Linked DNA regions of Oryzias latipes. The protein of the gene in region 5 interacts with the protein of the main gene of each other region in a pairwise test. Links are inferred from orthologs where the notes say so. Each region holds a gene or a part of one and is shown on either strand. Other genes may lie near its edges.

Evidence for each region.
Region 1: the proteins of mid2 (region 5) and dcx interact in binary tests that used the Homo sapiens proteins (3 or more experiments, as listed by UniProt). The two-hybrid records come from large-scale screens. The link is inferred for Oryzias latipes from reciprocal best matches to the Homo sapiens genes MID2 and DCX.
Region 2: the proteins of mid2 (region 5) and hoxb9 interact in binary tests that used the Homo sapiens proteins (3 or more experiments, as listed by UniProt). The two-hybrid records come from large-scale screens. The link is inferred for Oryzias latipes from reciprocal best matches to the Homo sapiens genes MID2 and HOXB9.
Region 3: the proteins of mid2 (region 5) and top3b interact in binary tests that used the Homo sapiens proteins (3 or more experiments, as listed by UniProt). The two-hybrid records come from large-scale screens. The link is inferred for Oryzias latipes from reciprocal best matches to the Homo sapiens genes MID2 and TOP3B.
Region 4: the proteins of mid2 (region 5) and spg21 interact in binary tests that used the Homo sapiens proteins (3 or more experiments, as listed by UniProt). The two-hybrid records come from large-scale screens. The link is inferred for Oryzias latipes from reciprocal best matches to the Homo sapiens genes MID2 and SPG21.
Region 6: the proteins of mid2 (region 5) and slc25a48 interact in binary tests that used the Homo sapiens proteins (3 or more experiments, as listed by UniProt). The two-hybrid records come from large-scale screens. The link is inferred for Oryzias latipes from reciprocal best matches to the Homo sapiens genes MID2 and SLC25A48.
Region 7: the proteins of mid2 (region 5) and enkd1 interact in binary tests that used the Homo sapiens proteins (3 or more experiments, as listed by UniProt). The link is inferred for Oryzias latipes from reciprocal best matches to the Homo sapiens genes MID2 and ENKD1.

What each region holds. Positions count from the first base shown.
Region 1 is NC_019872.2:14,739,830-14,743,329, forward strand, and holds part of dcx (neuronal migration protein doublecortin), read right to left. Parts: intron 3,002-3,500; coding exon 2,912-3,001; intron 692-2,911; coding exon 594-691; intron 509-593; coding exon 452-508; 3' UTR 1-451. UniProt on the Homo sapiens protein: Microtubule-associated protein required for initial steps of neuronal dispersion and cortex lamination during cerebral cortex development. May act by competing with the putative neuronal protein kinase DCLK1 in binding to a target protein.
Region 2 is NC_019866.2:24,161,626-24,165,858, forward strand, and holds the start of hoxb9 (homeobox protein Hox-B9), read left to right. Parts: upstream 1-1,433; 5' UTR 1,434-1,602; coding exon 1,603-2,215; intron 2,216-4,233. UniProt on the Homo sapiens protein: Sequence-specific transcription factor which is part of a developmental regulatory system that provides cells with specific positional identities on the anterior-posterior axis.
Region 3 is NC_019867.2:30,362,273-30,366,473, reverse strand, and holds the start of top3b (DNA topoisomerase 3-beta-1), read right to left. Parts: upstream 2,801-4,201; 5' UTR 2,699-2,800; coding exon 2,629-2,698; intron 1,120-2,628; coding exon 988-1,119; intron 885-987; coding exon 778-884; intron 1-777. UniProt on the Homo sapiens protein: Releases the supercoiling and torsional tension of DNA introduced during the DNA replication and transcription by transiently cleaving and rejoining one strand of the DNA duplex.
Region 4 is NC_019861.2:37,280,528-37,284,756, forward strand, and holds the start of spg21 (maspardin), read right to left. Parts: upstream 2,801-4,229; 5' UTR 2,667-2,800; intron 2,501-2,666; coding exon 2,438-2,500; intron 1-2,437. UniProt on the Homo sapiens protein: May play a role as a negative regulatory factor in CD4-dependent T-cell activation.
Region 5 is NC_019868.2:12,830,012-12,834,045, forward strand, and holds the start of mid2 (probable E3 ubiquitin-protein ligase MID2), read right to left. Parts: upstream 2,801-4,034; 5' UTR 2,427-2,800; intron 1-2,426. UniProt on the Homo sapiens protein: E3 ubiquitin ligase that plays a role in microtubule stabilization. Mediates the 'Lys-48'-linked polyubiquitination of LRRK2 to drive its localization to microtubules and its proteasomal degradation in neurons.
Region 6 is NC_019868.2:29,276,432-29,280,395, reverse strand, and holds the start of slc25a48 (solute carrier family 25 member 48), read right to left. Parts: upstream 2,801-3,964; 5' UTR 2,725-2,800; coding exon 2,673-2,724; intron 1,773-2,672; coding exon 1,729-1,772; intron 1,546-1,728; coding exon 1,474-1,545; intron 1,362-1,473; coding exon 1,109-1,361; intron 1-1,108.
Region 7 is NC_019867.2:6,232,711-6,236,674, reverse strand, and holds the start of enkd1 (enkurin domain-containing protein 1), read right to left. Parts: upstream 2,801-3,964; 5' UTR 2,623-2,800; intron 1,825-2,622; exon of another isoform or gene 1,810-1,824; coding exon 1,725-1,809; intron 1,544-1,724; coding exon 1,316-1,543; intron 1,045-1,315; coding exon 872-1,044; intron 791-871; coding exon 656-790; intron 1-655. UniProt on the Homo sapiens protein: Microtubule-binding protein which regulates microtubule organization and stability. Promotes the stability of astral microtubules and facilitates the proper orientation of the mitotic spindle.

The DNA.
Region 1 (3,500 bases), on a different chromosome or scaffold from region 5:
GTATTTACAGCAAGTAAGAAAGATTTTGGGTAAAAAACAAAAAAACGTCCTTTGGGAAGGTCATCCTTAGGGCAGAGCGACAAGGATATGAGGATGATCACAAAAATGTTGTACAAAAAACTTTGCTGCCTGAAATTTGGAGTGAAATTCTAAATTTGGTGTGCTTAATGATTAAAAAGTTTTTAAAGAAAAAGGGCACTTACAGTGAAATCTGTGACTAAACTGTGACATTAGTAAGAAAGAAGTTGTTTATTCTGCAAAAAACCTTTCTGGAAATCGAAAGAGGATTTTAATGTGATCAAAAGAGATTTTTGCAGAGCAGTGAATGGTGTTTAAGGCCTTAAAAAACAAAAACTGGTTGTCCTCAATAGTGGCACTGTGAGGGAAGGTTGAAAGCAGCAGAGGGGGGAAAAAAAAATTCAGTGTTTCAGGCCAAACGTAGGATGAGAGTCTACATGGATTCACCAAGGGAATCATCATCCTCCAGAGATAAGGGCAGGTAGAGATCCTGAAAACAGAGCAGAGGTATCCGTGATCTGAGCATCAGGACTGTGTTAAGAAATAACCATGTTTACAGAGAAATGGACCAGTACCTTCTGCTTGTTGTTCAGACCTGGACTAGTTGGGGTGGATGTGGGGGAGTTCTTGGAAATTGGGGTGGAGATCTGGCTGCTGGAGCCGGTCCCATTGGCTGAAAGTGACAATACAGGAGAGGACAGATGAAGGAGTAAAAGATGAAGTCAGCTTTGTATCTTAAACAATGCATAAGATGATTCAACCCTTTAGAAGAGTCGGTCCTTTATTGTGGCCTCACTTGGCAACAAATAAAGCCAGACTGGAGCTCCAGCTCTACTGAACCGATGAGTTCTGTTTGTCAGTGCACACTGTATTCACAGACTTAGTGTTGCGTCTCGTTGCTAGGATTCTCTCAGTGTGGGACATTGTGCTTGTATTTTGGAGCAGTGTGAGGTGATTTAGCCGTGTGAGTTAAACACTTTAAAAGGCTTTTTGTTCATGAAAGATGAAAGGAGGCCTGGAGACTCGCAACCAGATGGCGAGTCTCCGTTTATGCCAAAAGGCACCGAATACAACAAGAGGAAAACGCCTCACTGTCACTGAAAAGTCACACAAGGATAGGAAAAATGCTAAAACTGCTTGATTTTTAGAAACTAGGTTGGTTTAAAATAAGCAGCTTTCAAGACAAAACATGCAGGAGTTTTGATCAGTCATCACATTCTGAGCCTTGAAAGACAAAAAAAAAGGTTTTCCTCATCGCACATGAAAGTTCCTGACTCTTCAGCCTTTTCTGACATCTCTTCTCCCTACTGCATGTGAGCAAAATGGGCAAACAAAACACATGCAACTGTTATGCTTCAGAGAGAAACATAGATGTAGAATGGATCATTTTGTGATTCTGTAAATATTGTATGCATCAGTAAAAGAATCAGTAAAAAAAATAAAAATAAAAAACGAATTTAATTTTTCTTTTTGCAAGAAATTATATTAAAAAAAACATTGGATAAGTGGTAATATCAGAAACAGTCAGGAAATTGTTTTTGAATTATTGAAAACTTGTCAAAATTACCAGGCAAGTGAGACGTTTCCTGTGCCGTGACCCCATTATCAAGATTTGTGAACCCTCAGCTTCCAGATTCATAGATAAAGCTGACATCTTGAATGCCCATAAGCTGTGTTTACTGTCAATCATCCCTCATCAAACCTCCAATAATAGAATTCCACAGTCCTTAAGTAGACATCCATCTAGTTTCTTTACGCTTATTTGTTCTTAAAGCAAATTACAAAGCTACCACCAGATACGAGTAGAATCTGTTAAAAGATGCAAAAGCTCTTTAAAGCTAGCAGCAGAATCTCAATGATCTGCTGCCTTCTGGATATTGTCATGTTCAACTCCCCTGCCTCTCTGACAAATGGCTCAGAGGAGCTTTTGTTTACTTATGTTTTATTCATAGAGCTTTGTAAAAAGGCACATCATACTGCGTTACAACTCAGATTAAAGAACCACAAAAAAGCAGAATTTTAAATGACTTAATTCTTAGTAAAAGAATTTGTTTTAGGAATAAAAAATGTTGAATTTTAGACAGTCAAATTTCTTTTTGGAGAGATTTTATCAAAGGTTTTCAAACCAAAAAAAATTGCAGGAAAACATTGTGTCATCTGACACAAAAAATTTGTCCTTACTAGACATTAAAGAACCACTCCAATCATCTTTTGTAAAATCGTTTCAAGTGTTCATTTGACTATGGTGTTTTTAGCCCAAGGTCAAGTGTTCTATGTGGTTTATTAGGATATAGTTTCTGCATAGTAGCAGTAGTTTATTAAAAAAAAAAAAAAAACACCTATGAGTTGTGGGTGGACAACTGGCACAGCAACAAAAATGGCGAGCAATATTGGAGCCACATGGAGGTACATGACGTCTACAAGTGGATCCATCACAATAAAGCGGAGCAGGGAGCTTGTGGCCTGCCATTTGTAATTTCTTTGTCACAACTACACGCTTCTTCAGACGGCATTTTTTAATCTGCTCGAGATGCACCACGATTTAATAAAGAAATACTCAGATATGCAAATTTGACCTTTATTTTCTTTATACATGTCCATCAAAAAAAAGCCACAAAAACATGTTAAGAATTTTCAATGGAGCGGATCTTTAACCAAGTCAGTCATCTATTTTCATTCATTATTGAATAGGAATAATCCCCCAATCCTCACCATCCCCCTTAGACAAAGGTCAAAGGTGAGCTCCATCCCTCTACTTTCATATCTAATGTTCTGTTCACTATGTATTGTGCCCCATTGTTATCGGCATCCTTTTATTTTTTTTCCTTTTATTTTTATTTTTAAAAAGCAGTCTTAATGTCAGTATTCACTGTGCTCAAGATAATAGACTCACTGGATTCAGTGGGTGACTTGCTGCGTTTGATGAGACCCGGACTCTTCACTGAACCACGTGGGGTTTTGGGTCCTTTCATCACCCGGCATTCTGTCAAAACAAAGTCAAAAAAAGATCTTTATTTTCAAACTGGAAAAACAAGCTGCAAACACTTCTGTTTCTGATTAGAAATGCATCCATCAGTCAGATGGTGAAGCAAAGCTTCATATGCAATTCTATTTTGTACTATAATCCCATTATATTCTGGAGCAGTGTTTTTCATATTAGTAGACATACTCCAGACACTGCTGCACCTCTCCAAAAGCTTCCTCTGCGTTTGTACTGTCAGGCAGTTTCCCTCCCCCTCCCTCCTCTTCCTCTTTTGATGCTAATTATACTGTCTGTCCTCCTTCCATCTCCTGGGATCTCACCACATTCATCTTCTTCCTCTTAACCTTCACAGACACCACCACATACAACTGCATTTCTTTGCCATTGTTTGGGAGGTGTGCCACCATCACTCCTGCAGACTGGCAGCCTCTCTGATCAACTCCGCAGGCTCAAAATAGTCCAGACTCTCAGGTTCTCTAGTCTGTAGCAGAAACCATGA
Region 2 (4,233 bases), on a different chromosome or scaffold from region 5:
ATAAAAGTGGTTTGCAAAAGCATTTCCAAACGTTCCTAATTAACGCGCTCTCTGGTTAGCAGCGAACCCAGCAGGGCGGAGGCCCCGAAAAATTAAAATTCCCCGAGCTTTGCGGTCTGAGGAGCGACTGGGAAACATCCGAGGCATCGGGCAAGTCCCAAAGAACAATATGCACGCCCGCGATTCTATTCTATTCTATTCTATTCTATTCTATTCTATTCTATTCTATTCTATTCTATTCTATTCTATTCTAGGGTATAATATATGATATAATATATAATATTTGTTTTTTTAATGCACTGAGGACATTGGATTGCTATTTGTGAGTTTGTTTTTGATTTGAAAGCGGGTTTTTTTTTCTTTTTTTCTGAAAGAAAGTGTCTCGTGCTTTGGCTCCATGGTCCTGGTCCTGAAAGAACCGTCAGTTTGGATCTTGGTTCGCTGCTGCCTCTTGACTGAATGCCATCTGAATGCCTTTCTTTCTCTTTTTCATCCCTGAATCCAGTTTTTTTTTTACCAGCAGATCTGAAAGCTTCGCTTCATCTTTCCCTGATCCTCGTAAATAACACCGTTAGCCCCCATGAGCAATCTAGTTCATATTTACACGTCGTAAATAACTGTAGCTGCATATGCAACGTGCAGACCGGATTTATGGCCTCCAAAGAGTCCAAAAGCGCATGTCTGTCATAATTACAAACAAACAGAGAGACTTACAGCCGCGGTGACGTCAGACTCCGGGCGCCTCCGGTACATGATGCTTTTCGGGTCCACATTAAGAGTGTAAACCTATAGTTTGATCGGGATCCAGCGCGGAGGAGCAGAGCGCTGATCCTGCGTTCCTCCAGCGGCCGGAAAGAGAGGCAGCCGCTGCTCCGTCCGCACCACCATGAGTCATATATAAGGCCTATAAAACTCAAGCAGCCGCCCCTGTGTGGGATTTTATTGTGGTATTAAATGGACCCCCAAAAAGTGGATGAAGTCGAAGAAAGGGGCTGAGGGCGCGCGGGAGCCGCGTTAAGTTAATGGCGCTCGTTAACAGAAGATGATTGTTAATCCGCCTGTTAAAGTAAGCGGCTGAGAAACTTCCCAAAAAAGAAAAGTAAAACATGAGCAAGCACTTCAGGAGTCACCGCGCGCACTCTGCAGATAGACTGTTGGAGCTGCAGATCAGAAGCAGCAGAACCGCTCTGCGGCCATGAGCGTTTCCCGCGTTTGTTGCAGGTGGACTGTAGTCTGAAGAACTTCTTAGGGCTTTATTCAGGTAAACAAGAACCTCCTCAACATTCAGGTTCACACACACGTGGGTGCAGGGGATGGGGGTGGGGTCAGACTCAAAGGCAACGTGAATGAGTTTGCGTGAAATGGACAAATCCGCGCGGCTGCAAACTGGAACATTTTGTTTGTGGTCACAGAGTCTTTGGGGAGGAGGGGGGTGACGAGGGGGGTGAGAGCGTTAGAGAGTGAGAGAGTGAGAGAGCGAGAGTCAGAGAGGGGGGAAGGCAGCAAAGCAGAAGAAAAGAAGAAAAGAGTGACGTAAATCTCATAATGTCCCTCTTCTTCTGCTTTAACAAACTCGCGGCTGCACGCGGATAATGTCCGAGAATGTCCATTTCTGGGACCCTCAGCAACTATTACGTGGACTCCATCATCAGTCACGACAGTGATGAACTCTCCGGTCCGGCCCGCTTCTCCGCCGTCCAGTACTCCTCTCCAAACTCTTCAGTGGCCGCGGGCGTCAGGCAGCCCGTGGCCGCTGCACATGCGGAGCATCCTCATTCTGACTCGTACCCGTCCTGCAGCTTCCAGCCCAAACCCCCGGTCTTCTCACCGTCGTGGAGCCCGTTCAGCCCGCACCACGGCGCCGGCGCTCTTCCCGCCGTCTACCACCCGTACCTCCCGGCGCAGCATGTTCCCGCGGCGGACACGCGCTATCTCCGCTCATGGCTGGACGCCGCTCCTCGCGACCCGGACTCTGTTTCGGGCCAGAGCCAAACCGGGCAGGTGAAGCTGGAGCCCCAGCTGGGACACCAAGGCGGGGACATCCCGCTCAAAGTGAGCGTGCAGCACCCGCACGAGACCACCACGTACATCCTGGACCCCGTGTCCACGGCGGCGCGCGAACTGAGCCTCCACCCGGCGGCCGTCCCGGGCCGGGGGTTCGAGGAGAGTAAGGAGGGATGTGAAGGCAGCGAGGACAAAGACGGCCCGGATCAAAGTAAGTTATCAAGGTGGGAAAAACGCGTGGGAGCGCGAGCGCGCGGATGGAGATTGTAAACGCGTTTAATGCAGCCATAAAACAGGAACAAAGGAGAGCTGAGCGCAGCAGCCGCGGCTCACGCGCTCACGAGCTCACGTTAAAGCGAGTTTGTGGTGATTTTTCTGTGTCTGAAAGCGAAGAAGTACATTACAGAAAAAGGCCATTTTATGCCTTCATATTATGGGATGTTGCTGTTGCACTGACTTAGGACGGAGTGGGATGTGCGTCTCCAGATGACTGATTTCTTTGGCGAGAGTCCAGCAGAGAGTTCGATATTTATATTTAACGGGACAATTATCAACCAAAAGCTGGTGAAACATGGAGACCCGAGCTGCGCGTGCGGGTTCCGATGGAAAGCTGACATAGTAAGGTGCATGCGTGAGTTCTGAACCGGTCTTCAGTTTGTCTTTATTCTCTGTGGGGTTCGAACGCAGAAGTGGCATTTTTGGAGGAGAGAACGGTGCAGCAGAGGCTGCTCTCCGAGGGAGCTCGGGTCCCCTGACTCATTAACCTCCCGCGTGAACCTGCAGGCCCCGCGCTGCCTCGACACGCAAACCTGAGTGCGGGACTCTAAGCGATCACAGAGTCTCTGTATCGACACCCGAACCATGTAACTGTTGTGCTGCACGCTGCTTCTTTATCTCGCTCATGCTTTCTTCTGCAGTTTATTTTGGCATTTGATTTTTTTGTCCCTGTGGGCGCGCGCGTTTTCCTCGCAGCATTAAACACGAGTCTCCTTCTGAGCTTCTAAAAACTGCAAGCAGTTGATAAACAAAAATCCGAGCTCAGCCTGATGCAGGCGTGCGCGTGAGTCCTGTCTGGGAAACATGGGAGACGCTCTGAATTAAAAAAATCTTTCTTGATAAATAATCAGCTTTCTGTTTTTCAACCCTGCTTGATTGATGATATAACTTTTTAGGAATTGAATAAAGAAAATTATTATTTTATCACTATATTTTTAAAACTAGTCCGGTGTTATTATCTCGAAGCACACTCGTATTCAAAACATTAGTGATTTATTTAAAAAATAGGTTGTGTATATAAATAATTTTAATTTTAAAAGTGATTCTAAAAAATGTGTTCACATCTTTCAGAATAATTTCCTAATTTGCGCATGCGTCACCGCTTCAGTTTCTCGCTGCTTTTTTTCTTTAACTCTGCTGCTTCTTCCCGCTTTTCCTTCTGCTCAATCTGGCAAAAACAAACTCTTTCCAAAGTGCAACTCGGGCTGTTTCTAATCTCCAGCAGACGGCCATTTTGTGCCAAACAGATGCCGAATGCAACAGACGCCCGTGCAGGTCTGATCAGAAATCCTGTAGCTCACGCAGCTGAGGGCTGTGGCGCTTTAAAGTTTTTTTTTTCTTTTCATTTCACTCTCCTAAAACCGCTTTAGGGCGAACATATTACAGACCTGCTGATTGAATGCAGCAGAAATCAATAGAACAGTTTGAAGTCATTTATTAAATCTTGTAAGAGTCCAGACAAACCAGTGCCCTTTTATGCTTTTTTATGTGATCTTAACTCAAAACAACACTCAAAATTAACATTAAAAACATAATGTCCACAGGAGAAAACAAAAACCCAGACAAACACACCATAAAGGCAATAAAATATTATAAATATCTATTTCCATCAGTCAAAGTCCGTCTGGCTGTGATGTGTTTGTGATTTCCTCCCTCATGACTGCAATAGCAGCTCATCCTTTAGCAGCAATGCTGAAGAAATAAATCTAGAAAGTTCATAACTAAAACTGTATGAATGAGCTGTGAGACAGAATGGAAGAAGATCTCAACACCTCTCTCTGCTCCATCTCGTGTTGAGATGCTTTGCTCCTGCTGGAGCTCAGGACACCTCGGGCCTTGAGCTGTAGGAACATTGTGTCCTTTGGTTCTCCACCGATGGCAGCAATTTGAGACGCAGTCGGAGAATGCAGCAAACATAATTCTGGAGTGTCAGTTTATCAACAGGCGGTCGGG
Region 3 (4,201 bases), on a different chromosome or scaffold from region 5:
GACGATCTTCTAAACCTGCTTTTAATAATGTTACGGTTATTATGAAACACCTGTTCGCTCATCATTTTAATTTTAATCCGTGTGGTCAGTGCTTTTTCTGAACGAAACCAGGATTAGCAGTATGCTAACACGGGCTAACAACATTAGCTTTGGGTGGTGCTGCTTGCTGGCTGCACGTAAACATGTAAGAATAACATCAGACTTTATTTAGTCGGGACACGACTGGAAACACAAATCCGCGTGATTTTTTGAATGTTTTCTAAGGACTGAGCGACATTTCTGCTTTGAAGCTCAAACCGCTGTGTTTCTGCTGACGATCCGAGCTGTGCTCAGACACGCACTTAGACCCGGTTCTGAGTTCGGTTGCTTGTACCCCTAGAGCTGCGGGACGGATCGCAGTCTTAAATCTCCCACACATACCGCTCATGTACCCCCCCCCCCCCTTCCCATCAAACACAAAGCTGTAAGTCCGCACTCCCCCGGAAGTGCGGGAGCGGACTACTTCTTTTCTATTTTGTTTGTTACTTTTTTGTTAAAGTCACTTCCCTCAGTTTATACTGGATCATCGCGGATTAGTCATTAGTTGGGAAATAAAATGAAAAAAGCAAAAAAACGAATAGCAGTTATATAAGAACGAAAAATGTAAAAATACCCCCCCCCCCCCCCCCCCCCCCCGACGATGTCATCGTCCATCCCGATGGTTGACAGCAAACATCGTCAACGGCCAATTTAAGGGACATCGCCCAACCCTACTGCCCTCCCACTTGGCTGACCCACCTGAAGGAACTTGACCATGCTGAGTTTGGGGTTGGCCTCCTTCTTCTCCGTTGGAGCTTTGCTGAAGAGCTCTGCAGGGTCCACTTTGTCCCAGTTGTTGTATTTCCCTGCAGAAAGAGGAGGAAGAAATGAGGAGAACCGTCCCAGAGCGGACATTCCCATCCGCCAAGGACCACCGTCCCCAAAAGTGGAGATTCTGAGTGGACCCACCGATGAAGTCCAGGCTCATGACGTGTCCACACACCGAGGTCATCTTGAAGCGAACGCTTTGGCCCTGGAAGGTGCCGGTGTACTCGTGCACTGAGCACGCTCCGTTCAGGCCTTTACGGCTCGTACAGCTGCCTGGGGAGAGCGAAAGCGGAGGTGAGTGTCAGCGTCCGGACAGACGAGCCTGCAGTTCCTCTGCAGAACCACAGGGTTCTCTCAAGAACTAACTCTGGATCTCCTTTGTGGGTCTGAAAACAACCGTCAACAAGAAACTAAAGATTCCGATTTCTGCAGACAATATAGTTCTGGTCCACATTCAAAGGTCTGACAGTCACAACAAGAAAACAACACAACAATGAGACGACAACAAGACAAAAATGAGACAACAATGAGACTTTAACGAGACGAAAACAGGACAACAACGAGATGACAATGAGACAACAATAAGACAACAAGACAAAAACAAGACAAGATGACAATAAGACAAAAATGAAAAAAAAAACAAAGAGACAACAATGAGACTATAACAAGACTATAATGAGACAAAAACAACACAACGAAACGACAATAAGACAAAAATGAGACAACAATGAGACTATAGCAAGACAACAATGAGATGACAACAAGAGGACAACAAGATATTTACAAAATGACCTTGAGACAACAATAAGACGACGAGACAAAAACAAGACAACAGGATGACAGTGAGACGACTATGAGACATGACAAGAAAGTAATGAAATATGACAAAAAGGAAACAATAAGAAAATGAGACAACAGTTAGACAACAACGAGGCAATAATGAGACAATGATGAGACGACTATGAAACAACAATGAGAGGACAACAAAACGAAAACAAGAAAACAATGAGACAACATTAAGACAAGAAAGAGACAACAATGAGACATGACAACAAGAAAATGAGACATGACAAAGACAACAACGAGGCTAGATAACAAGACAACAATGAGACACGACAACAATGCCTCACAACAATGATGCACATAAAAACCAGACAGGAGACATAATGAGACCCAACAGGAGACAACGAGGGTCAAAGGTCTGAGCACAAACACTAAAGCTTGTAACTATAGTGAAGGAGAACTGATAGATTCACGTTTCAATGTTCAATCTGCCCAGACTCTTTTTAGACTGTAACGTAGAAAAACAGAACATTTGTGATCCTCTGCATCTCTATGTTTTTGTGTAGATGAGAGGAACTCATGAGGAATGGCGATGTCACAGAGAGCAGAGGTGGAGAAGGTGGAGGACTTGAAGATGTGTGGGATGGAGAGGAGGAGGACATGAGGGAGGAAGGTGAGAGTGAGGAAGATGAAGTGGAGATGCTTAGGTGAGGCAGATGACTTGCTGCCCTAAGAAAACTATCTTAAAGATGAAGAAAACTGTCTCGGGGATTTGAAACTAAGATTTTCCAGATTTGTTCGAACACCGTTTCCATGACAACTGTCTCCTCCTGAATGATAGCCACTGCCCTGTTGGATCCTCACAGTGTTCCTGTTACTGAAAGATTCTTTCATAAAAAATGAAACAAAACAAAACCAAAAAAAACCCCACAAAAATATACTTTTTCTAAACTAAAGATGACCCCCCCAACCCCCAACCCGCCTCCGAACCGGACCAACCTTTGGACAAGATTCTGGCGATGGACTGCGCCAGAGACGGCTTCTCCGCCACCATCAGGACGGTCCTCATGCTGCACGGCGCGGTCCGGTTCCGCTCTGCAGCAGAACTCTGAAGCCGCTCCACGGACAGGTTTGTTCTCTGTCCCGGTAAAAAACAAACTTTTCACTTCCGGGGTCATCTGGTGCTTTTGCGGCTCGCCCGCTGCGCCCCCGTGTGGAGAGGAGAGGAACAGCAGCGCGCTGGTGGAGCTGCGGTCAGCCGCTGATCGGCGGCGGGGATCGTTGTTGTGGCATTTTTCTCAACTAAGAAATACGAGATTAAAATGGCATTTCTCCGTATTTATTTTGTTTATTTTATTTTTCAAACAAGAACCAAAAAAACAACAACAATGCAAGATATTCCACAAACAATCAGGTCAGAAGTATGAAGAATGTTCAAAGTTCTATGTGGGAACATTTTGAAAACAGATCAAAAGATGAACGGAGTTTAAGATCTGTGACACTTTTCTTCAACTGCAACAGATTGCATTAAAGTAGGCATGTCCAAAGTCCGGCTGTGGGTCTGAGGATTCCCTTCCAAAAAATGAATAACATGTGGCTCCAGCACTTTCTAAAAACGGTGTATTACTTCTTGATTGTGATGGGAAAACTTGTGTTTTAAGCCGTTGTAAACCTGCAGTAGCACCGTCTCCTGACCCTTCTGTGACCCTTTCAAGCTCATTTCCAAAATGTCAAAAGTGTCAATAAAAAAGGGAAAGTCGGCCTCCATGTAAATGATCAGAGGAACAGTTTTACATCGTTTTGGTAAAAACACATTTAGATGTATTTGTGTTCCACTTGAGGAAATGAGAAGTGCGCCACAGCAATGTTCACTTGCATGTAAAGTTGATGAAACAGTCCAAAGAATGTTGGCTCCCACACATTTTTCTGACAACCTCTCAGTGTCTCAGTGTCCATAGCAGCTACATCTCAACTGGCATTTAAAAAAATGCTTTCAAATGTAATTTTATAGTGATTAGTTGAATCTATAAAGGTGAGGTCCTCCTCCTGCCATCACTCTTTCTTCTTTGGAAGATTTCCACCATCAGCCACATCGCCTCATAGACATTGGACACTTTATTGTTGAATTTGTAATCTGTATTTTGTGTTGTTTTCATTATTATCCTTTTTTTATGGTAACAAGTCAAGTTTTCCATTGTGGGATCGATTCAAGTTCTATTCTATTCTAAATAAAATGAGATACTTTACTGAAAAGGGATTAAAGAGGAAAAATATGATTTATCTCAGAGCATTTTTCTGTTTCTTTGAGAAGTAATTTTCTGTTTTTTAATTCAACTCGCTGTAAAAAAAATAAAAAAAATCTCAATTTACTTTAATGCGAGTTGACCCTAAAATGTTCACGATTTTCTTTTTACCCGGATGTTTTCATTTATCTAAATGAAAACAAAACCACCGAATGTTCAAGTCAAACAGATTCTTACTTTGAAACTTTAAAATATTCTTTTAATGACAAAAAAAAGGCGTAAAATGAATGTTAATCCCAAAGACAAACAGAGAAAACCCAAAGCTCCAC
Region 4 (4,229 bases), on a different chromosome or scaffold from region 5:
AACCATCTGATGGGTTCTGTTCAGGAGACGGACTGACGACAGCCAATCAGGAAGCAGAACACTAAACGATCAGCAGCACAAACGTCAGAAGTGAACCGCGACCACAAGAAGAACTCAAAAGGCCGAGTTCAACCAAAATGATCAACCGGAGCCAAAGGCTGAAAAACACCAACTAAAAAAAGAAAAAGAAAATTCTGCATCTTAAAAAGCAAAACCAGAACAAATAGCATCCAGTTGAAGAATTCATGTGCTAACAGCTAAAATGTTAGCATTGACGCTTTGTTCTATGGCAGCCCCTCCCACCAATCAGGAGTGAGCTTGTTGGAAGGCCACGCCCCTACCACTGGAAAGCTGTAAACGTTTTGAACACTGGACAAGGGGGTCAACAGGCTCCGCCTACTTTTATTGAGGCGTCTGATTGGCCAGTTAATGACTTGACTAACTTGAGATACAGGAAAAAAAAAGAGTTTTATCAAGTAGATGTTTAAAAACAAAAAGGTATCCGATCCAGAACGGTTCTTCTGACCAACAGAATGACAGCTGTTGATTTGCAGATACTTCCTGTTTGTAGCAAAGGGGAGGGGCCCCTCCGTCCAGTTCCGGTATACAGTCAGTGGTAACAAAAGAATCTGCAGAGAGGTTTTTCTGAAAATCTTAAATCCTTCAGATCAAACTTGTCTGGGGGGTTTTAAGCCGTGCTGCCAGAAGCTGACCTGCATCAGTCACTCAACCTCTCTGTCCCAGAATGCATCTCTCCTGAAGTGCATGAGTGAGCAGAGGGAAAACGAGTGGATTCGTGCCAGTAAAAGCAGCACATGTGATGCCCGTGTGAAGCTGAGGGAAGCATGTGACGGCTGGGTGATGAACGCCGTCACATGACTCTCCACCTCTCAGAGCCTCAGCAGCAGCGGCTCAACCTCCAGCTGCGGGAACCAGCCGGGTGTCGGCTCCAACGCCAAACAAATCCCCATTTTTAAGAGATCTGTGAGCTAAAAACCCGACGGGAATAATCGTCTTATTCCAAAAGACAACGCGAGCCGTTGTTCCACCAAACAGCAGATCCGAGGACCAAACCCGTTTTCTGAAAGCTAATCTCATCTTAATCCAAGAGGGCGATCCGTGCCGCTGAAATCCAGCCTCAGATTTCTCATTTTCACGCAGAACTCAACACAAAAGTCATGAACTAAAGCAATCAGAACGATTGTTTAAGCAATAATTGACCACAAATCTTGAAAAAAACCTAACAAACTAAATGCAGAGACGCCTGACACTCATGAGGGGATTTGTGAGGTTTAAATTAAACATCTTTAGCAGAAAACGTTGTGATATTTTCTTAGACTAAAATAGAAACACAGCTGTCAGGCTCCAAGCTTCCTTTTTCCAAGGTAAAACCTTTTTTTTCTGCTGTGGAATGAGATGCAGAGTCTTCCTACTATATTCACTAACCACAAAAACAATGTTTACAACAATCTGAATGTAAATAAAATTTGAAAAAAGACAACATTTGAGCAAAATCATAAAAACTTTATGATTTTATCAAACATCTGTTTGAGCGGAGCTTCATTTTTCCAAACTGTGGTTCTCCAGAAAAACCATAAACCAGTTTAAAAAGTGAATACAGGAAACAGGTGAGACAGAAGGGACAAAATGAAAACACGTAATGGCGAAGGGGCGTGGTCTAAGCAGTGCGTTCTTGGTCTTATTTTGTTGTTTGTCAACTGTTTTCATGGTGATTTTATTGAACAGAAGGGAAGCAGGTCACAAGATCAAGTATTAGTGCATAACATTTGTAAAACGTTTCTTAGACAGCGTGACAAGCTAACGTGTGCTTTAGAGACCATGATACTACCACCACCTGTCAGCTTAAAGACCACGCCCTCATTTCCATATAAAGTAATCCTCAACCTTTGAATAGGAGGGCTTTAAAACCAGGTACGGTAAAGAACACGGGCGCTAAAGCCACGGCGATTAAAGGGTTCATTTACAGAACCAACCGAATTCTACGACAGAGTCAGTCACAAAAGTCTGGAGGACATTTCACAGCAAGCCTCCTCCGACTGTAGGTTGAGGCTAGTAAACAGAAGAAGAAGAAGAAGAAGCCCCTCCCTGCAGGCGCAGTGTGAACACCTGGTCTGAACGGTGTGCATGTAGTTTCAGAAAAATAACCTCTCTGGGTTTAAGGAGTTCAGCTGTGTTTGTCCTGAAGCTCGGTTCTGAACAGGTTCGGCTCATCAGAACCTGAAGGTTGATCCAGCAGGACAGAATCCCGATGACCCGTCACGGAATGGACCCCTTCACACCTGGGGTGCTTTTGTATCACGTGACCACGAGAGCAGGTGTTTCATAAGAATTTCAACGCGCGCGAGCGTTAGCCCTCATCGCATCGGCGACGGTCCAGCTGCTCCGGAGTGAGGCGCGTGACGAGGCGGGAACTTACCCTCTTAAGTGGCACGGTGCTTCGGAACCAGTTGTAGTCTGGAGACACCTTGATCTCCTCCATCTGCGGACACAGAGACGGTGACTCAAGTGTGTGTGCGGGGGTGTCCGGGCTCAGCTGCTTCCGCGCGGGGGCAGCTGTTAGCCATAATAGCGGCTAGCTGCTAAACGAACCCCGCGGTAACCCCGTTAACGGCGTAGAAACCGACCGCCCCGCCAGCCCCACTCACCGTGGACGTCACCGTGTCAGAGCCCACGCCGCTGCTCGGTGAAGGGTCACCGTGTCCGGAGACGTTTGTCCATGTCGGGTAGCGCTTGGAGCGGCTGCAGCTCGGTCATGTGATTTTCCTTTCACACACTTCCGCAAGTAGCCTCTCCGGTGCTGCGTTCGCGGTCGCTCTGAAAATCCTGTTCTCCGGCAGTAAGAAAGCCGCTTTGGTTTCTTAAGTCTTGCTTAATTTCTGTTGTCGTTACAGTTTTCATCCTATACAATGTAGCACTCAAATGTATTCAATGTTTGTCTGAATATGGAATCAATAGAAATGTAAGAAGACATTACAGACTCGAGATTCTTTCCACACAAAACCCAACGAATCTCCGAATCCCCGTTTTTCTCAAACGCATCGGTCAAACCTCAAGGTAATTCTTCTCATAATTTTAACTTCAGTCATCAAAATATTTGGATGAAAAACTTTCTAAAACAAACTTAATTCTTGAATGAAATGCGTTTTTGTTCGTAAATTGTTCTGAAATTACAATTCATACAAGTAAAATGGAATAATTTACATCTTCAGTGTGGATCAGTCTTTCATTGAAATCCTGTCTGTTCTCATTTTTTTGTGGTTTAACCTGGACAGGAAACTGAAATGACAAGATGTGTAGATTGGTTCCGTTTCCCAGAGCGGTGTTGGTGTGTCGTTCAGACTTTGGCCCCCATCGGTTCTCCAGCTGTTTCTTTAAAAGCTTCATCTGAAATCGTTTAACCACCTCCAAGTGTGTCTGACGTGACGCAGAGAAGATCAGTTATGGAAGGTTTAAACTGCTTCCTCAGGTCGTCCCCACTGTGAAGGTCAGTTTATTGGAAATGTTTTCTTCCCATTTGGAACTTAAAGGCAGCTTTAAAGCTTGTGAAACATGAGCGTAACCCCAAAGTGAATTTATTTACCCTAAACTGTTTAGCTGTTTAACAAACGTTTGATAATGAAGATAAAAAGGAGGAAAACCACAAAAAGACAACAGTAGAAATGATTTTTTTACCAAACTTTATAAAGTTGAGGGAAGTCCTGGAGCCCCAAACAGACTTAAGGACACATTAAGGGAAGAAGCTGCATCAGATTCTCTTCCAGGCACATCAGCGTCTCAATGACAAACGTTTTGGCAGTGAAAGCTCCAGAAGACAGAAGAAGTGCTTTAAGACGTTGGAATCTCCCATCCGACACATGCAGAACGGTCCTGTGCAGCAGCGTTCTGCACTGCTGAAGGTCTGAAGGATGGACGCATTTGAACTCATTCACCAATGTCCAAAGGTCAAAACCTTAGTGAGGGGGCGGGGCCAGAGCCCAGACCCACTGTGGTTAGTCTAGAACACGTTTGAGTCTCCTGGAAAGTATCAAACGTACAGAATCACAGAGAGCAGAAAATCCCACTAACCAATCCCTGCTCAGAATATGAAAAGCCCCGCCCACATCACACAATTTAAAGTAAAAAAAAAAAGTACCAACAGATGTAGAAATACACAAGTCGTGTATTTCTACTTTTCCCTAAAGGTATAAATGCACATTTGGATGAACGTT
Region 5 (4,034 bases):
TGAAACTTTCAGTTACTTGATGAAAAAATTGATCCAGGTTCTTATGTGTGAGTTTTAAAAACACAAATTATAATTAAAAAAAAGGACTAAAAGTCAAATAACATTTCTATTTCTATGCTGATGACACTCTTGTGTATCAACAACAGACTGAGCTCTCTTTCAGCTAAACACAGCTTTTATTATTACCCAGAACATTTTACATTATTTAAAGCTTGAAACATTAAAAATTAATAGCAAAATGATAGCCACTGAAGATCATATTGGGCATTTAAGGTGATAAGAGTTAGTTTAGCAACTATACAAGTTAATTTTTTCTTTCTTTTTAATCTTAAAAAATAAATAATACATATACCCTATTTTTGGAGTATAAATCGCATTTTTTTTGCATGTATTTGGGCGGGGGTGCAAAGTATACTCAGTTGTGACTTATATGTGTTTTTAAAAAAAAGAAAAAATGCACAACAGCTAGAAGGCACTGTAGGTGTGTGTATCAGTATTTGCTACTGACAACATCAGAGAGGAAGAAGAGTCATTCAGTCTTACGCCGGGCTAAGCAGAATTGTTCCAAAGTGAAACAGAGGATGAAGAATTGAACGGATTTAGTCATTTGAAGTAATATAAAGAGTTTAAATGACTTGTTAGCATGTTCTTTATGATATGGTTATCTGAATAATTGTTCATATGTTGGGCTATTCTAAACTACTCCTATGTTTCATGAAGCTAAATAGGAATCAATGTATTATGGTAGTGAAGTGTACAGATATTTTGACTATTACTGTTATCCATTCCATTATAAAAATTGAAAAGAAGTCATCAAAGTTATAGCTTTATTGTCATTGTACAAGTACAGTGAAATTTTGCTGCAAATAGGATTTGCCTTTCAAGATTAAGATCCCTTTTCTGTATTTTGTTTAATTAAATTCTCTCAAAAGTGTGACTTATATATGATCGTTTCTTTTTTTCTAGGCACTTTTTGGCTGCTGTGGCATGTACCCTGGAGCGTCTTATAGTCAGAAAAAAAACAGTACTTTTTGAAGACTTGTTTTTTCCTTAAGAATTAAATTTTTTCTTTTTTTCTTTTTTGGTTCTGTGTGAGCAATGCCAGCTAAGACACACAGTCTAACATGTACCTCTCAGTTCTATTCATGGAATCCTCTGCAGCTGCAAAATTCTAGTTGCGTGTCAACTGACAGACACCCCTGTCCCTGTCACAAAAAAGTGACTACTGTTGTCATCATTAAAACATCATAATAATTACCATCTAAGAGCGTAAAGGGGGAAGGAAAAAAAAGCAGATAAATTGGAAAGAGCAGGCCTGTAGAACCATGATGAATGAGGGTGTCAGCTATACTCTCACGACTAGCTCGACTGCATTTGGGTGTCGAGCCCCCATCCACTGAGACCTGCCTCATTAGCCACTTTGATCGTGCATTAACCACAGAGCAAGAAAAGAGTGCAGGGGACCATAAATCACTTTAAAAGACTGTGAAACACCACTTCATCAAATGTGCCGCTGAATTCCCCAGCAACAGACACAGCACTTGGTTTTATTGTGTCACTAATGTATTGGTTTCTATTGAATCAATGGGTAGCCTTGGTGAAAAAAGGGACAAGCAGCACTTCGTGACAGTTGACCCCTCTTTCCCTGCCCTGCATTGTTTTGACTCATTCATTATTGATCAGTTGCTGCCCATTGACATTTTACACTCTGCCGCTGTGCCACTTTCTCCCTAATGTCACTAGGAATGAGAAAACAAAACAAAAAACGTACTTTACTACATTTTTCACAGTTTAAGTCACAGCAGCCAAAAAATGCCTAATAAAGAGGAAAAGGTTGATATAAGTAGCACCCTTTGCCAAACCATAACAAAAATTGTGTCAATAACAAAAAATGTGACTCTAAAAATTATGGTAATTAATTTCAGTTTTTAACTGAGTTGTAATCTATTGTGAAATGTATTCATGTCACACTCCAGGAGCTATTCCCAGCTTTTTTGAGTGTTCTTCAAACAAAGCGTCTCACTGACATCAGGCTCCCGGATCAGGTGTCAGTTATGGTGGCTGCCTTGGTTCCTGAAATGCTATGCAATACCACAGAGGATACGTGTGGTGTGCATGAAATGTGCATAAAAGAAACTCAAAATAATGCCCACAAAATCTTGTAGAAACAGTTTCCTGACTCTCCAAAAAAAAAATGCTTGTGGTGTAAAAGTGGCACACCTCATTTAAAACAGAATGAGATGGTCAGTCATGCTCTGCTTGTTTTTCATTCTGCCCCCCCCCCCCCTCCTCCATGGATGTGGGTCATTAGAACAGAACGCGCCCTTCGCGCATTGACGGATGCTTCAGTCAGCGCTTATCCTTCAGCGCACGTTGTCCTGAGGCTACTCCACCAAAAATAAACACAACAAAGACGCGCAGCTTACCTCCGCCCCCCGTGACAGCTCTGGATGGACCCTCGTGGAAGAACAGTTGGAGAAGATCACAGATCCTGGACGGAAAGTTTGGACAAAGGTGCGACTGAGCATCAGAGTGGGTGAGAGACGAGAGTCAACGCCCCAAAACACATCTGGATGACGAGCCGCCGGAGGAGCGAGAGCGCGTCTTCCTCTTCTGGGTGCTGCTTTCCAACTCAGTTGCGCGCAACGTTGCGCGCTCTCCCTGCCGCCTGACGTGGTCCCCACACCAAACAATCCCCGAGGAGTCACGTGGGCAACCCACAGGGATACGGGAATAGCTCTCGATCCCTCACGGCAGCATCTGGGATCGGTTACTCCACTGCTCCACTGTGAAAACCCCGAGCTGTGCGCACAACGTCTCTTTTGCTCCACCCGCGCTCTCCTCCCGCGTGGCCTCACGGCGTCGCTGTCATTTCTGTTCACTTTCAACAGTGCAGTCTTTATAGATTTCCAAAGAACTATAGATACTAAAAATATGTCCTTTTATTTTTAACCCATTTATTTATTTTATTCAAATTGTGGATTAAAAAAAAAAACACATGGTCGTTATTAAAAATGAATTACAATCTTGCCATGACACAGACAATGCCCACTTAGTAAAAATAACTCCCAACTGGAGACCAATTATACTACAAGAGCAATTTCACAAAATATTTTATTTTCCAATACTTTTTTAAAAAGGTAAAAATTTACCTTTTGCTTATGCAATAATTTAAAAAAAAAGAAAGAAACATCAAATTTTCCCTCCAGATTTATTGTCAGAGACCGCAAAATATCTGAGCAGAAATGTATGTTAAACTGACCTACTGCATGTATTTGGGACAGACTATCTTTGCAACATGCTGGAGGCCACAGGATTAGCAGGGGAGACTTGCCAACCTTGCAACTTTATCCCCACAAGCAAGCCAAAATACAGTTTTCTTTGTCTCACAGGCCTTCTCTGTAAAACAGTTATACTGCATTTCAGAACTGCAATTAGCCTGAAGGGCTGCAAACAGCACAAGCCTGTATTGTCCATTGTTTTATATTTTTTTCCGTAACCTGCAAACTTTTTATGTAAACATATAAACACACAAAATGAAGCTATAAAATACTCCAGGGCAGAGCATTTGGAGCCTGTCAGTATGACTTGCTCAACATTAGAAGCTTTACAGGGACTCCTCAGCTTTTGTGACACAAAACATGCATTGAGTTTTTCAATCCCTTATTTAAGGTTGAATAAAAGTGTGCAAATTGTGCAAAACCACAAACTCACAAATAAATATTTTGTAATACTGCATCTATTTATGTGGAGCTGCTCTTATAGAGCAGTAAACCATCCTGCAGTGTGACTAACATCAAAGCTGTGTCAGAATATGAAAAACATCCTCATGAAATATTTCTCTAGACCACAAGAGCTTTGGGTGGACAATTTGTTTTTTTAAAATCCCATCCAAATTCTTCTTCTTTTCCTTCCCTTCAGGGGTCGCCACAGCGAATAAGCTTCCTCCATCTAACCCTGTCTGCATCCTCTAACACCGGCTACCTTCCATCTAGACACATTAATGCTTTGTTTTATAGTCTAACACACAGGTT
Region 6 (3,964 bases), about 16 Mb from region 5:
GGCTCATCCAGACGCTTCGAGCGGAGACACTTTGCTCCGTCGTAAAACAATCACGGCTGTTTCCGCCGTCGCTCAGGAACGGCGTCAGGAGAAACAGAGCGATGTGCCGACTCAGCGCCTAAACTTATGAGACCTCCGATTTATGAGAATTTAAAGTTTAACAGAAAGGCGCGACGCAAACGAAACCACTGAAGCACAAATCCCATCCTCTGAAACCAGAAAGTTTGGATCATTTTACAAAAAGGATTAAAGCTTGGACATTTATTTAGGCCTTTCTCTGCTCTTTTAGGACAAAAGAAATCTCACATTGAGGTTTAATGCTGTGAAAACTGAAAACATTAGTTTAAAATAAAGTATCGATAAAATGTTTTAAATCTTTAGAGTAGATCCATTTTCCTCCAATAGATCCTGTTTTAGGAGCTTCAACAGCCCAACTATTCTTATTTCTAAACATTCTTATTAAAAACTAGAATGATTCATTTTAAGATACATTTATTAAAAAAATATGTAAATGTTTGTTAATATAAGTTCTGTGTTATAATTCAAATGAAACAGTAAATACATCTGTTTTTTTACCACTCATCATTCACCATTACTTTGTCTAAAAACATTACTTAAAGTAATACTTTTATTTTATATTTTTACTTAAACTAATTTGTTTTCAAGATCAAAGGATTTAAAATAATCCAGATTTATTGTCTTAAACAAGTTGCTGCATCTCACTGAGAAATCACTGGTTCCTTTTGTTTTCTATTAAGTGTAAAAAGATATTTAAGGCAGAAATCCGTTTGGGTTTTTGCAGACGTTTCTATCTGCAAACAGATCAGAACCAGGATTGACTCTGGATTTAACTCGGATCCTTTCACATCCCTGAGAAGTTCTGCCGGGCCTGAAAGCGATGAAGGGGCCTCACTGTTTAGGAGGTTCTGTCCCGACACAGCCAACTCTTTCACTTCCGGGTTGAAACGTCTTTAAAAAAGAAAACAGTAAATGGAGCCAGAGCAGTTCTTTAAGTGACCCCTAGGGGGTGCTTGATGTAAAGCAACACGATGATGTAATAATTAAAAAAGTATGTGACGTTCAGCGGTTCTGCCTGCCCTCTGCTCACCTGCCAGAACCGTCTGCGTCTGCATCTGCAGCCTGATCTTGACCAGGTCCACCGGCGCCCCCAGACCCACCGACACCATCCCCGTCAGCATGCTGGCCGCCGTCAGGTCCAGCAGGCTGCAGGGGTGGCGCCCGTCGCCGTAGCGATAGGTGCTGATGAACCTCTGCGCGTTGCTGAAGAACCCGAACACAACGGAGTTGTAGACGGTGATGCTGGCCAGCGGGAACGACATGCCTTTGAAAAAGCCCGCCACCTGGAGGTTCACGGGAGAAAAGCGTCATCTCCGTCCTTAACCCACAGAAGAACCAGAACCAGAACCAGCAGCCGGGCTGAAGGTGCCACAGAGGTGGAGCCGGGCCGGTTACCGTTTCCTTCCTGTAGATGGAGAGGATGCAGTGCAGAGTGCTCCCGTAGCCTTTTCCCGCCTGCAGTCGGGTCTGAAACACAAAACATGGGCTCTGCTGAAGCTGGACCAGGAAAAACCCGTTAAGCCCATCGATCCTCTGACTCCTGAAGGTCTCGTGGAATGTTCCGCTTTAGAGTCTGAGGGCTTTCAAAAGCGTCAGAAGTCCTAAAAGCGTTGGTGCGGCGATGACAGAGCGGGTCCGGAGATGCCGTACCTTGACTGTGTCCAGCGGATGTCCCACCACCACGCTGGAGGCTCCTGCAGAAGAAACACAGAGGAGTGAACGCCATGACGGAGGTTGACCTGTGGACCTGCAGCGCGGGCCGGGAGGCTGGAGAAACGTCAGGGGTGTGTCCGAATTCCCACCCGAAAAACTAGATGGTGCAGGACTGTAGAGCCCTGGATTTAAAAGCATTCGCTAATCTAGTGAGCATCGATCACTACAAAATGGCAAACGCCCCATCTGTAGTACACTATGTAGTGGGTAGGGGAGGAGTTGGGACGCCGCCGTGGTCTTCAGGAGGCGGCAGCCGTTTTATTGATCGTTTCATCTGCAGCTGGGAGGACCTCAACATCTGTCTGAGCGTGAGGGTCCTGGTTCCTGCAGCCTCCGGACCCCCATCTAAGGGATTTTTCATCGGTGGATGGAAGCTCGTGAGGCTCCAACCCAAACCTCGGACTTTCCTTCAGGCCAGCTGGAAGATCTAGTCCTGGAGGATCCACAGATCCATCAAAGGGATCCCACTTTTGATCCAGTTCCTGTTCCAGGAAAATCATTTTATGGCACTAAAAGCGAATGTAGGTCGACTTTAGATTACACAATCACAGGGCAGGGCTGCCCCCCCTCCCCCCGGGGGCCGCGCGCGTCCCTGCAGCCCCAAGAAAGTTTCTGCCGCCCACACCCCCCCACCCCAGGTCTAAGCCAGATGTGGGACCTCAGAACCAGATTCGGTCCAATATGATCCAATATGAGGCCACTGGTCAGTGTGGCACGGAGATGGGGGGGAGCGGAAAATCCGCGTAAACAAAAACGGGGGGGGGGGGTCCAAACAACCCCCCCCCCCGCTCTCCCACAATAAAAGTTTGACTTTGTGAACTTTAATGAAAAACAGAAATAGAAAGGAGCATCAGGTCTCTGTCTGTCTGTCTGTCACTCACCGCCGATCCATCCCGCGAGGAAATCATCCAGACGGAAGTTCGAGCTCTGCATCTTTCACTCCGAGCGGCTTCACGCACGCGCCGCCCGGTGTAAGTATTTGTGCACACGGCCGCGCCTGCGCCTTTTATCCTTTCTGAGGACAAACAAACACTTTAAAGAAGGTGTTCGATGATAAGAACGGTTCAAGGCAGCGGCCAATCAGAAGCGAGGCTGTCCCTGCAGGGCACCCAAGCCGACCAATCAGCTGCGCGCTCCTCCAACCCGGCAGCCAATCGCGAGGCGGACATGGAAATGAGCCATGAGGAGCAGAACCCCAGAACCCGCCCACCGTCAGCCCAACTTTGAGGGTTCCGAGCACAGAACGTTCTTCCACCGTCCAGAACCCGTTCAAGTTCCCGGTAGAACGGAAACACGAACGGATCGGTTCTGCAGGTTCAGCTGCAAACATCTAATAACCAACATGGTTTCTGTAAGAACATTTTATTTATGTGACACTTTTAAACTCCAAACGCTTTAATTGGTTCTCAGCAAAATGATTCTTTTATTATAAATTCCATTTTAAAAGGTCCAATTATGTTGTTTCTACATTAAATGAGAGTAAAAGCTGCATTAAAAAGGAGATATTCATAGAGAAAAACAGAAGCTTCTTTTTTCAGAACAATCACATAAAGTCCTGAGACGCCTGATGTTCTGTTCCACCCTTTCATTCTGACTAATCTATTCAGATATCTCTTCATGCATTTTTATTATTTTTAGATTCTGAGTGTTACAAACCCTCAGCTTCTGAACGCCTCGTGTTTCCTAAAAGGTAACAAAGTAGAGAAGAAACATGAACTGAAGTATTTCTGCTGTTTCAGACCCAAAACAGTTCTGTTGGTGGACAGAAACTCACTGTGTCACTCAGAATATAGTCTTACTATTTTACAAAAAATATACATTCACTGCATTAAAAACAGATGTTTTTCTTTACTAAAGAAACTTTTTCTTAAAAACATTTTTAAATGGCTTGGAGAATTGGTTTTAGTTTCGTCTAACAACTTCAAACTGTTTGTTCCCTAAAGTTGTCTCCGTATTAAACTCAGATCCACCTGATTCTGTTTTATGAATCCACTTTTAAATGTCATAATGTGTATAATGATGACAAAGGGTTTCCATTCTCTTCTATTCTATTCTTTTCTATTCTAAGCAGTGGTTAAGAAAGAGTTAAGGTATCTGTCAACACACTAAAATCATATATGTTAATGTTTACGGGACGTGATTGTTCATGTTTTCACCTCTACACACTGATAAC
Region 7 (3,964 bases), on a different chromosome or scaffold from region 5:
AAAGCGGTATTTTGCTCTGTTCAAGCATTTCTGAGTACTCCTCTAATACTCTGTGTTCGGAGCACCAGCCTCTCGAAACCCACAAAAACAATTGGTCTCTCTTGAGCTGACACAGACCAGTGAGAACAGTCCCTTCCAGGAAGAATCTATGCTGCCACCTCCGGCCCCAAGCTAACACACCCACCCACCCACTTTCTCAGCGGAGCTAGCGGTGATCAGCTTTTATATGATATTTATATGTGATTTCCTTTTATATGCACATTATGCACATCCATCTTTGCAAAAGTTTGGAGGTTGTTTTTTTTTAATAAACAATTGCTGACACCGGTGGATGACGTAATGAAATGGGCTGCACCCACGAGGAGCAAAAGCCGGTGCCTCAGCGATCGGGTCGTCTTACTTCCGGGTTGGGAAGTAAAGCTCAGGGAAATAACTCATATTTGATTAAAAAATCATTCCATTGTCTGTTCCCAGTAATATTTTACCATATACATGGATGTTATTTAATATAAAGGCTTAACTATAGCACTCGCACATGTCCTCTAAAATGACCATTTCTGTCCAGAAATGTTGCCAAATGTGTTTATAAACTAAAATGTCACAGTAGAAAAAATAGGAATATTACATGTTTACAAAGTTACTCTTAATCTTTTACCTTCAAGTCCTGATCCTGCGCAGAGTTGCATGAATTTTTGAAAGCAAGTGAAGGTACTGATGGTGCAGCATAACTGCCATTAGAGTGGGCCTTGAGGAAGTTTTGACACTGTGGTTTTACCGTAGGTGTAGAACTCTACATGAGGGGAACAGATCGCACTTTCATGTAGAAAAGCTCAAAAGCGTTACATTCATGACAAATAAGAGTAGTCCTTGCCTCTAGCTGGGCCAGCACCCTGGAAGACACATGTTGGTATTTTGGAGCAGTCCACAAAGCTTTCACTGGAACAGGACGGGCCTGGGCTTTCTCAGCCTCCTGCTCTTTGCAGCGTTTCTGAATCTCCTTCAGCCGGCGTACGTTTTCTTTACCAAAGTCATGCACTCTCTGTTCTGCAGGGTCAAGCAACAAAAGTTAGCCAAATAATAGTTTTATCTTTTATTATTAGCCAAATTTACTACCATCCAGTTAAAAGTAGTGCACAAATATTGTTTTAGTTACCTTTGAGATTCTTATATTTACAACAAATCTGATAAATCTTAAAACAAGTTTAAAAAAGCACTGGTTTTGACTTAAATAGATGGAAAAAGCACAGCTGCGTTCCAATACACAGCTGTTTAAATACAATGAAATATCAATGGATTATAAAGCAGCTTCACTTACTCGGTTTTGGAGCAGGACTGACTGAGACGTTGTCTAGTTTCATCAGTTCTCCCACGACGCCTTTCCGACCCCGTTCCAGAATATGGGCTGCGTTGGGGCCAATGCGTGGACGGTGGTGGACTGCTGTACGAGAGCTATAGCAGCCTGGGAACACAACAGGATCAGGAGCAAAGGGGCCCAAGAAAAGGCCCAGAGTTCCAGCATGGTTCCCCTCTAAACGACCACGAGCTGAAAGAATCAAGTCAACAAGATGATGCCATTTTAATCCAAAATGAAGAAAATATAAAATGCTCAATATACATTTAGGAAAATGTTTTTTAATTAAGAAAAAAAAAGTGGCATTAAAAAAAACAGTTAACAGACAAATGCACATTACACCTGTATTTTTCTATGCTTGGGTGCTTCTAACCTGAAGCTGGTCGTTGGTAGTATTGAGGAAACAGTGAAGGGTCTGGGGGAATTGGGCCAGATATTGATGAAGGTCCTTCACACATCTAAAACAGAAGAAACTTCAAAAATATTACAACAAAAATAAATCTTTGTAAATGTTTTGCACACAAAGCATCATGGAAACTATACAACTCTCAGTCATGATGTAAAACAGATATTTCAAGAAAAAAACTTCATTTACTAGCTTTTTTTCCAACCTCATATTGACAAAATTAAAAAATATAAAACTTTATTTCATGAAGAACATACAAATCCAAAGCAAAGTTAGCATTAAATAAAATTGTAGAAATAAAATCAAGAGAAATGAGGGCATAAACCCAGATAAACCGATAAACAATTCAAGAGTTTCTTAACTCTTATAGAGGCCCACACAGAATATGACAACTTTTAAGAGAGGAAAAATAGGTGTGTTTTTAAAAGATTGGCATTAAATTAATCTAAAATAACAATATTTTTATTCTAATTATCATATAAATTATAATACAACCGAACTGAATGTTAAAGTGTGTTAATGTTGGAATTGTCTTCTTTGTTGAAAGCCACCTATATATAACATTCAAGATTTGTCTTTACCAAATTGGAATCATTTTTATTTTCAATATCATCTTTCATATAGAGCATCGATTATCTTGTATATTAAAGCTAAAAGGTTTTCTTGCTTTTGTTTGTTGCGCCCTTATCCTCACATATATTTCTGTTAAGTGAACAGCTATTGTTTATTAGCTGGTTCTAAAATACGCTACTTAGCTCGAACAAGAACTAATACAAACAAGCATGCAAGGAGAAATATAAAACACGCTTATCGGTAACGTTAATCAAAAATAAACCGCTCACTAAAATCAGTATACACTGTTTACCTTTTAAATGTCTCGTTAAAGGATTAGGGTTTTCTTCGATGACGCTCTGGTATCAACCACTTGTGGGGCTGTATAAGTCGTCACTATGGCAACGGAGCATGCGCACAAAGGTCGAACATCGAGGAAGAGGGCTGATACCCATAAAACCTTACTGTAAATGACAAATTCCGAAATTATAATGAAGATTCGCCTGCATATTATTTACAGTATAAAGAAGTAGTATTATAGCATGGATTTTGATTGGCCTGTTTTTTTGCTGATAGCTTTGGCAGGTGTATTTCTGTCGTGACTTGGTAACATATATTCCTTTCCCTGAGTTTCGTCTGTAAGGCAACGAGAAAACTCGATTTTACTGCTATACAGCATTCCACATGACATGTCAGGTCACCGTACTACGTGGCTCCGTACCACATCACAACTGACTAAATGTTTTTTTTTTCAGTAATTCTATCTTAAAATAAAATGTTGGTCTTCAGACAGACAGATAGATAGATAGATTCATAAAACACGAATACATATATATATATATATATATATATATATATATATATTCATTAAATATGTTTTGCTCAATGTCAATTGTACAAGGGCCCCGCCCTCGGTGAGGGTTTTACGACGCATGCGCAGTGGTGCCGCCTGTGCTTTCTCCTTCACCGTGTCCAGCTGCACATAACAGCGCTGCTAAAGTGTGCACAGTCCGTTGCTTTAAAGACAAAGGTAGGTCCACGCTTTGTCTGGAAGATTCTTTTATTTCTAAATCATCTCGTCCGTCTGCGCGCAGGACTTTCTAGTTGACAACAGTTTTTTTAAGGGTCGAGGCTGAAATGAGCCACTCAGACATTAGGGTGGGAGAACCGCAGCAACACAAACCAGATCCAGGCCTGCGGTGGCTGAAGTAGAACGTGAAGTTTAAACCTGTTTAGTCGCTCATTAACTCTCATCATGAATATATGCATGCTCCAACAAAAAGGTGAAAAAAATCCCAACGTGTCTTACTGGTTGATCAAACATCTGAACTATGTGACACAGGGGACTGGAGGTCTTAACTTTAAAATGTGGGGTTGAACGCTGCAGGCTGTTACCACCATTTGAAACCAGAGGTGGAGAGAATGCTCACAAAAACACACTGTCACTTGTGGGACTAGGGGGCGTGATGCCATGAATATTTTGAAATTTTTTTTTTTGGTCTGGAGCTGTGAGCACCTCATCAACCTGACACAGCGACTGTCTGTCAGTGAAGCTCTTGTTTATTTCAGGTTATCATGCTTATGATTTTATGTAATGGCAAGACAAACTATGCGTAAACACATGCTTACATGGAGAAGGCATCTTGTTATTGTAC